Linked DNA regions of Ovis aries. Each later gene encodes a partner of the first gene's protein in a complex. Links are inferred from orthologs where the notes say so. Each region holds a gene or a part of one and is shown on either strand. Other genes may lie near its edges. The genes, in order: MKI67 and NIFK.

Region 1 (4,251 bases):
GGTTTAATCATCTCCAAAAGTGCTGTATTTCATGTTAGGACCTCTCTGTGCCTCAGTTTCTTCATATACCAAGCGGACTCCATTGGCACCGACATCATGGTGCTGTGCACACAATTAAATGAGTTACCCAGGTCTGTCACTTGCTGGGCACGCAGTAAATGCTCACAACTTGTGACCTTTTGATTGTTTTAAAACTGCACTATTAACTGACAAAGTCACAAGTCTCCTCTCACTCCAGACACTAAACACAAGCAACAAAAACCAGTTATCTAGATGCAACCTGTCTTTTCACAGGAAGCTGACATCAGCAGCAAGCACCGCAGGAGAGAAATCCCCAGACCACTGAGAAGCTGGTCGAAGATGCCTTAGCAAGGCTCCCTGGGCCTCTGGTGCCCCTGGTACCATCCTAGGTTTAACATGTTTGAACAGACCGTGACTCCTCTGTTCTCAACAGGAACCTCTGGAGCCTTAGTGTAGCCCTTCCTCCCCGTGTCACACAATCAAACACTACAAATGGGTTTCTAGATTAAATAATCTTGCATAAAAAGACACTTAATCACTACAGTAATGAAAGAATGCCTGCCATTTGATACTGAAATTTTTTGTTTTGTCTTTTCCTTCTGAAGAGAGTAGAAGTTATGGAAAGTGAACAGCTACTCTAAGTCAATGAAAAGATTTTGATTTTGAGGAATGAGAGAAAGATTATCTCATTAGAAATGAGAATGTTAGGCAGGAGACTGCCAGCGAGAATCACTACAGAGCAGTGGTTCTCCACCTCGGCCCCTGACATCCCAGCCAGACAGCTCTTTGTAGGGGCAGCCGTCCTGTACATGGTAGGACTGGCAGCAAAACTGACCTCTGCTCCCTGACGTCGGTGATGTGGGGCTCCCACATCGTGACATGAAAAAATGTCTCCAGACTTTGCCAGGTATCTCCTGGGGGTCATATGGCTCTCAGCTGACAACCACTGCTACATACTGACTCCAAACCCGATTCTCCAGCTGATGTTTCAACAGGACAATTGTTGGCGTGCCAGACAGTAACCACCTCTGATACACCAGACCCCATACCAGACACCAGCTACATAATTATTAACAAGACAGTTTCTGCTCTTGGGACCTTAGGAGTGAAACGGACAAACTGCAGCCTCATTACCACGTGCGGGTTAGGAAGAAAAAGAGCAGTGCTCAGTGAAGTCTTCTTCTCAGGGTACATGAATCGCTCATGTAGGAGGGTAGAGAGCAAACCCCAGAGACAGAAGCGCCAACTGGCTAACAGCACCAAGGTGAGCCAGAGTTTGCCCTGTGGTGGAACGTGGGTGCAGGATGACTGGTAGGAGGATGGAGTGTGGGTGGGAGGGGGGCAGGGTTCCACCACACAGGGTTCTACAGGGAGGGTAACTTACCCATCACTTTTAGAAGACGAGAGCTGGGTATGATTAACAGTTCCTGTTTATACACGGACCACAGTTACTGCCACCAACAACACAGGAAGGCACCCAAAGAAAAGTTCTCAAAACACAATCGGAAAGACTCTTCTTCCCATTCCCGCTTTTTTCCCAGAAAGACCAACAAGCCAACACAGATCCCTTCCTTATTTGTTCAATAGTAACCCCCAGCAGCCAAGGAATGCTCAGTTCAGAGAGTTTTCAGATGAGCACAGCGGCCTTCGAAAGCCTGCCTGAAGTCAAGCAGGATTTGAGAATCCTTTACATTTTTCTCCAATTATAGATTTTTATCAAACCAATTTTTAAATCTTTGATTAAACACACACACAATTATATAAACATCATCCTCAAAATTCTATTTCACATGAGTCAGCCAGTCACATTGACAGTACATAGGCAATCCTGAGCAAACCCAAGGGCTCCTCTACTCCTGGAGCTGAGCGTCCCATCTGTCAACCTGTGGTTAGTAACACTGAGGGGGTTTTAAAGCCAAATTATGTCAATTGTCCGCGCAAGGGCAGGGCTCACCTTCCAAACACGCAGGTGCGGAGGCTCAGCGGAAAGTGAGGACCATCCACCCCGCTCCTTTTGATGGTAACCAGGCGTCTTGTAGGACCCATTTTCTAAACAAGAATTTGAGTATAATCCCCGACGGGAAGGTCAGACATCAAAACGTTTGCTGAAGCGGACTTACAGGTCACTGAAGGAAATAACAAAAATAAAACACGTGGGGAGCCGGAGGTTACCCTAAAGCAAAGCGCTAAGAAGGCACTTGTAAGTGACCAAGGGGGTCGCTTCACCAATGCCCCGGCCGCCCCGACCCACACTTTATACTGACCGCTGTGGAAGCCCCAGGCTGGTCCCGGGCTGTCCCCCCACAACTCGGTGCCCCCCTCACAGACCTGCGGCCAGGACGGCGCCCACCAGGGTCGCGGCTCCCGGGGAGGTTCCCGCCGAGACTCCACGCGAGCGCTGAGAACGAGCAGGGCCCGGCCCAGGGCGCCTGTGCCCGCAGAGTCCCGAGTGGTCCACGCGGCCCCCCCGGGGCCCCGCCAGCTGCCCCCGCACCCCGAAGGGCCCTGGCCGCGGCTCACCCGGGATGAGTCTCCAGCGCCGACGCCAGGGGATCGATCCACCACCCCGCGGCGCGCACCTCGCGTCGGCCCCGGGAGGAGCAGGGGACCAGTCCACCTGCGTCCGCCTCCCGGCCCGCGCCGCAGGGACCGACCGGGCCTCAGCCCGCAGACTCGCGCCCACCTCCGCCGCGGCTGCGGTCCCCGCTCCACCCCCCGCCCTCGCCCCTCGTCCTCGCAGGCGGCCGGATGGCCCAGCCCAGCCACGTCCCGGAGGCGCCCGGCGGTAGCGGCTCGGGCGCGAAAAGCCGCCGCGGCGCCCTCTCGATTCAAATGATAACATCGATTCAAATTTGGCGCTAAGCGCAGCGATTGGGCGCAGTGGCGTAGAGACAGACCAATGGGAGTGGAGGGGCGGGCAAACGAGAGGGTTAGGGCTGCGCGGGGCGGGGGCGGCCTCCCGGCTCAGACACAGACCAATGGGAATGGAGGGGCGAGGCTGGGGCAGGGTTAGGGCTGCGCAGGGCGGGGCGGGCTCCGCGGGGGCGGGCTCCGCGGGGGCGGGCTCCGCGGGGCTGGGCGGACGGGCTTGGTTCGCGTGCCTTCGCGGAAGGCGACCTCGTTAAGGGTCCTCCACCCTTACAGCGCAGACCCTGCTGAAATGCAGCAGGGTCCCACCTCCGCGAAAACCTTGCCTCCTTTTCTCTAAGGGTCAAACACAGTTAACAATGGTACATAGTATGTTACTCGTTGCTGGTAGGTTTACAGTTTTTTTTTTAAGTTCCTCTATTTCCCTAAAGATGACCAATTGTTACAAGCCATCTTTTGTGTCTTTTCCCAGTAATACACACGATTCTCTTTTTTTGTTTTTAAAAAGGCATGAGGAATATCGTAAAATACACTTTTTCTCCGTACTTATACTCACTGCTTTATAAAGATGTAGACAACGTCTTCCTCTTTACTTTCTTTTTGGTGGCTATAAAGTATTTGGCTTTGAAATCGTAATTTTCTTAATCTTTGCTATTGACTGTCATTAATTTAGGTTTTCTAAGATTTACTGTGTTTTCCTGTTAGGAAGAATTTTCAATGAGTAAACCTTATGCACTACAAAATGGATGAACTGTAAAATAATTAACCACGGGATTCCTCCATGTGCGTGACCGGACGGGCCAAAGGAGATGCCGCGGGCCATCACGCTGTGAAGGGAACCGGGGACGCTCACCCTTGGAGCTTGGTTTTCCTTGATCGGGAACTGCTGTTCTCACAGCTTGATCTGGGAGCCCTCGGGTCTGAGATCCTTGCAAAGGGAAACCCACTTTTGTAATAACAGACAGTCCTTGCCCTTTTCACTGCCATTTCTTATATGTGGAGGATGGCATTTCCCTGGTGCAGAAGCAGAAGAGAGAATCCAGCTGGTTGTTTTTTGGGTATGTGTGTGGGCTTTTTTTGCCTTTTTTTTTAAACTAAATCAGTATCACGGAGATTTGCAAAAACATACAATAATGCTAGTCTTTCACTAATTTTTAATAATAGAGGTTGTTTTTTTTTTTAAAAAAAAGGTGTTTCTATGTGAAAATGAAACGGGATCATCACTGCTTTAAAATGAATTGATAAACGAAACTTTATTTAAGTATTAAGTAAAAAAAAAAAAAAGTATTAATAGCCTGTATAAACAAAAGGGCTTAGTGGTCCTCAGTGGTTTTTTGTAAGAGCGAAAAGGGACCCTGAGAC
Region 2 (3,809 bases), on another chromosome or scaffold:
TACTGGGAATTCCCTGGTAGCTCAGTCGGTATCTGCCTGCAGTGCAGGACACCCAGGTTCAATCCCTAGATTGGGAAGATCCCCTGAAGAAGGAAATGGCAACCCACTCTAGCATTCTTGGCTGGAAAATCCCATGAACAGTAGAGCCTGGCAGGCTACAGTCCATGGTGTTGCAGGAGTCAGACACAGCTAATGTACATTATTTAATGACATTTTAGGAGTTTGATGGCACATTAGAATGTAATTGTTCTGCTTTTTGTGGTGGATTTGTCATTGCAGACTGGAAATAGCAAAGGCTACGGCTTTGTGGAGTTTGAATCTGAAGATGTTGCCAAAATAGCTGCTGAAACAATGAACAACTACCTTTTTGGTGAAAGACTCTTGAAGTGTAAGTACCCAATTCTTAGCCTGTGGGATTTCAGGGATGCTCCTGCTGACAGTGGCTGTGGTGGGAGGTTGCTTAGCTGTTCGGACGTCCCACCTCATCCCTGGGATGAGTCTCCTAAGCAGTGGTGCAACAATTTAAGTACATTTTCAAGATAGATTTGAACTGGAATTTTAAGATTTCCAGAGTGAGAGCTGTTTTCTGCTGAGACGGAGTTGGAACAGTTTCCTTGAGGAGTAAATAGGAAGGGCTTCCTGGTGGGGTATGGGAGGCTTCCCTGAGGAAGAGTCATTAAAGTTGGAACCTGAAGGTTAAATAACCGCCAGGTGAAGGGGTGGAACTGAGAATTTGGTGGGGGCACAGCAAACGCCAAACCAGTGACAAACGTAATTGCTTGCAAGGAGCATAGCGAGAGATGAGGGAGGAGAAATAGACGAGTGAGGTCAGGTTACCGGAAGCCATGTAAAGCACAGTTTAGAATACATGCCGAGGACAGCGGAAACCACTAATGGTCCTGGACAGAATGATGTTCAGGGTGAGGAGTCACGTGTCAGCCAGTCTTCGTGGCCTTGGCTGCAGCTCCTCTGCAGAGAAACCATCGGAAGGGCAAGGGTGACAGTAGCAGACGTTCATCCTGCAGGAGGTGGAGCTCCCACCTACCCGCCTCCCCAGAGCAGCCCATCCGGAGCCAGCACCCAGGTCACACCTCTTCATCTTAGTTCCTATTGCTGTGAGAGGGGTCAGGAGCCCCCTGAGATCCTGGGTGTTATTTGCACATGAAAAATGTGGCTCTTGCCAGGACGAAGTGGGTGATTGGGTGACCACATGTATGAGATCCCTGCTGTGCTCCACCTGACTTCTGAAGGATGGCACAAACAGTTCCGAACTCTGATACGAGGTGTTAGCCACATCCCCACCTTTTTTTTTTTTTTTCAGGGGAGTAGTTTGTCTTGGAGGTGATCCCGGGGAAATACTTGTAAGGAGTGGAGATTTGACAGGGAGGAAGGAAGTCAGTAAAGGGTATGTTAGCAAGCAGGTTATTTAGGCATTTGGGCCCCTTCCTGCTGGCCACCTTGGGAAACAGAATTATCCCAGCTGACAAGCATAGAAACTGGGATATTTGTGTACCATATATCACTGGTGGAGGGTAGATCCTAGGGATTTTGGCTTCCCTGCATAAGGGGCCCAGTATGCATCCCTAAGCAGAGAGATACAGATAAGCAGTGAGCTGCCTTAGTCCTGGGCAGGTGCCTGGAGGATATGAGCTGGAAGGTAAGAGCTTCTGCTGTCATGAGTCACGCAGTCTAAGAGTGGGAGTCCTTTTAGCTTCAGGAACCCTAAGACTTAATTTCCACACTCTCCTCTGTGCACTCGTCTTGTTCACTCGTGTATCTCTAGTCCTGGAGTCGTCGTTGGCACACAGTGAGTGAGTGGTAGATAATTGTGGGCTGTCTGACTTGCCCTTGGGGACCTGCTTTATTCTTTCAGGCTGCTCCATGTAAGTGGGGGACACATCAATTTGATTATGCTACAAGTGACACAAGGTGACACGGGACAGTCTGAAGTTCTCATTAAAAGCCTTTCCCTCCTACTCGGTTGAGAACTTTCTTTTTCTTTTTTTAATTGTAGGCCATGTTATACCACCTGAAAAGGTACATGAAGAACTTTTTAGAGAGTGGCATATGCCATTTAAAAGGCCATCATATCCAGCAGTGAAACGGTACAATCAGGATCGGTCACTTGTTCAAAAGCTACGGATGGAGGAGCGGTTTAAAAAGAAGGAAAAATTACTCAGAAAGAGATTGGCTAAAAAGGGGATTGATTATGATTTCCCTTCATTGGTGAGTATTCCTTTGTATAAAATGTCTAACCCAGTATCTCCCCCTACGAGGTTTTGACTGGTTTTTTGAAACTGCAGTCATTGTAGGCTTGTCTTTGTAGGTTTGTCAAGCTGTCCTAGTATTTCCTGTTACACTACACGGGGAGGAAATCCTGAAAGGGATTAAACCAATTTGCAACACGTACCTGATTTAGCAGTTTTAGATGATTGAATCAGTGAAACCTTACTTGACCGAAAACCATAATGCTTATAGATTACTAATAAAGGTGTCATTGCCAGGATTAAATGTTTGGTTTATTGTATGTTACCAGTAAATACCAAGACTGTAAAGTGACCATCCTTTTTATGCCATTTTAGTTAAAATTTTGTTTCATGGTCCTTTTAAATTGGAAATAGTCCTAAAAGTCTATGTCAGAATTAACTAATAAGTATATGTATAATAATCTAATGGTAAGTTTTAAAATATACATAAGTGAGACAGCTAGTTTTACAGCTTCTTTTTCTATTACTTTATGCTTGTTTAGGTTAAGGTATTACATAAAAATGAGGAAAATGCTTCAAACACTGGTCCTCGAAATTCCAGAAAGCACCAGGTAAAACTTTCGCTTATCATATTACCCACTTGATATTAGAGAAAGAGAAATGGGGAAGTCCATCCAGGACTACTGTGTCTAGTCAACACGCAGATTGATGTAGTCTCTTAAAATTTATTGAAGGCTTTACGTAAGAAGAAGAAAGCCGCTTCAGTCACTCCTAAGACTCCTGAGAAGGCTGTGGATAGCCAGGTAAGATTGTCTTCAGTATTCTGGGGATCCGGTATTACAGTTTAAAGGAGGACAGGCAGTTGCTGCTACTGTCACTTTGCTTGCTCAGTCTTGTGACGAAGTGTGATAAGCACCTAAGCGCTTGATCATGTGCAGCTATATCATCAAATGATGGAAACAGGCCTAAAATAATACGCGTAACTTACAAAAAAATAGAGGAGAGGTAGTGGGAGAGGGTCATTCCTAATATCTTCCCACATTTATATGTTATAATCTTTCACTTGAATCCAGGGTCCCACACCAGTTTGTACACCAACATTTTTGGAGAAACGAAAATCTGAAGTGGCTAAAATGAATGATGATGATAAAGATAATGAAATAGTTTTCAAACATCCTGTATCTGGTGTAAAAGAAGAAACACAGGAGACTCAACCACCTGCAAGTTCAAAGAAAAAAAGACGAAGAAAACACAATCAGTGATTTTTTTTTTTAATGTATTGTGTATAGTTCTTCTGAAAAGATGATTTTATTATGAAGACTAATTCTGTATATTTAAGTAGATATAGTGGAATGTAACCAGTAACAAGCTAGTTGGGAAAAAACTGTCAGTTCAAGTCACTGAGGAAAGCAGTGATTCTGGCTTCCCTGCCCTCGCTGAGATGCACACCAGTTTACAGCAGCTGGGCTCCCACTGCCTCTTGTCCTGCCTCTAGTTTTCTTAGCGGTTTTCACAGCTGCTTTTAGTTACTCTGCCTGGAGAGAAGATCACTATTAACTGCCGATTTAAGCACTAAACTGTAACTTTGTTGTTACCATCAAA

Evidence for each region.
Region 2: the proteins of MKI67 (region 1) and NIFK are in contact, whole or in part, in an NMR structure (PDB 2AFF), measured with the Homo sapiens proteins. The link is inferred for Ovis aries from reciprocal best matches to the Homo sapiens genes MKI67 and NIFK. Residues at the interface, in NP_002408.3 of Homo sapiens: Thr9, Ile10, Lys11, Arg12, Ser13, Pro18, His19, Phe20, Pro21, Ser23, Leu24, Arg31, Gly32, Ile33, Glu34, Cys35, Asp36, Ile37, Arg38, Ile39, Gln40, Leu41, Pro42, Val43, Val44, Ser45, Lys46, Thr66, Asn67, Ile91; in NP_115766.3 of Homo sapiens: Val228, Asp229, Ser230, Gln231, Gly232, Pro233, Thr234, Pro235, Val236, Cys237, Phe241, Leu242, Arg245, Gln248, Val249, Leu252, Asp256, Lys257, Asp259, Glu260, Ile261, Val262, Phe263, Lys264, Gln265, Pro266, Ile267.

Annotation. Positions count from the first base shown.
Region 1 is NC_056075.1:47,020,981-47,025,231, forward strand, and holds the start of MKI67 (proliferation marker protein Ki-67), read right to left. Parts: upstream 2,859-4,251; 5' UTR 2,542-2,858; intron 2,148-2,541; 5' UTR 2,068-2,147; coding exon 1,976-2,067; intron 1-1,975. UniProt on the Homo sapiens protein: Protein that associates with the surface of mitotic chromosomes and acts both as a chromosome repellent during early mitosis and chromosome attractant during late mitosis.
Region 2 is NC_056055.1:186,964,718-186,968,526, reverse strand, and holds part of NIFK (MKI67 FHA domain-interacting nucleolar phosphoprotein), read left to right. Parts: intron 1-279; coding exon 280-388; intron 389-2,014; coding exon 2,015-2,226; intron 2,227-2,749; coding exon 2,750-2,818; intron 2,819-2,941; coding exon 2,942-3,010; intron 3,011-3,280; coding exon 3,281-3,469; 3' UTR 3,470-3,809.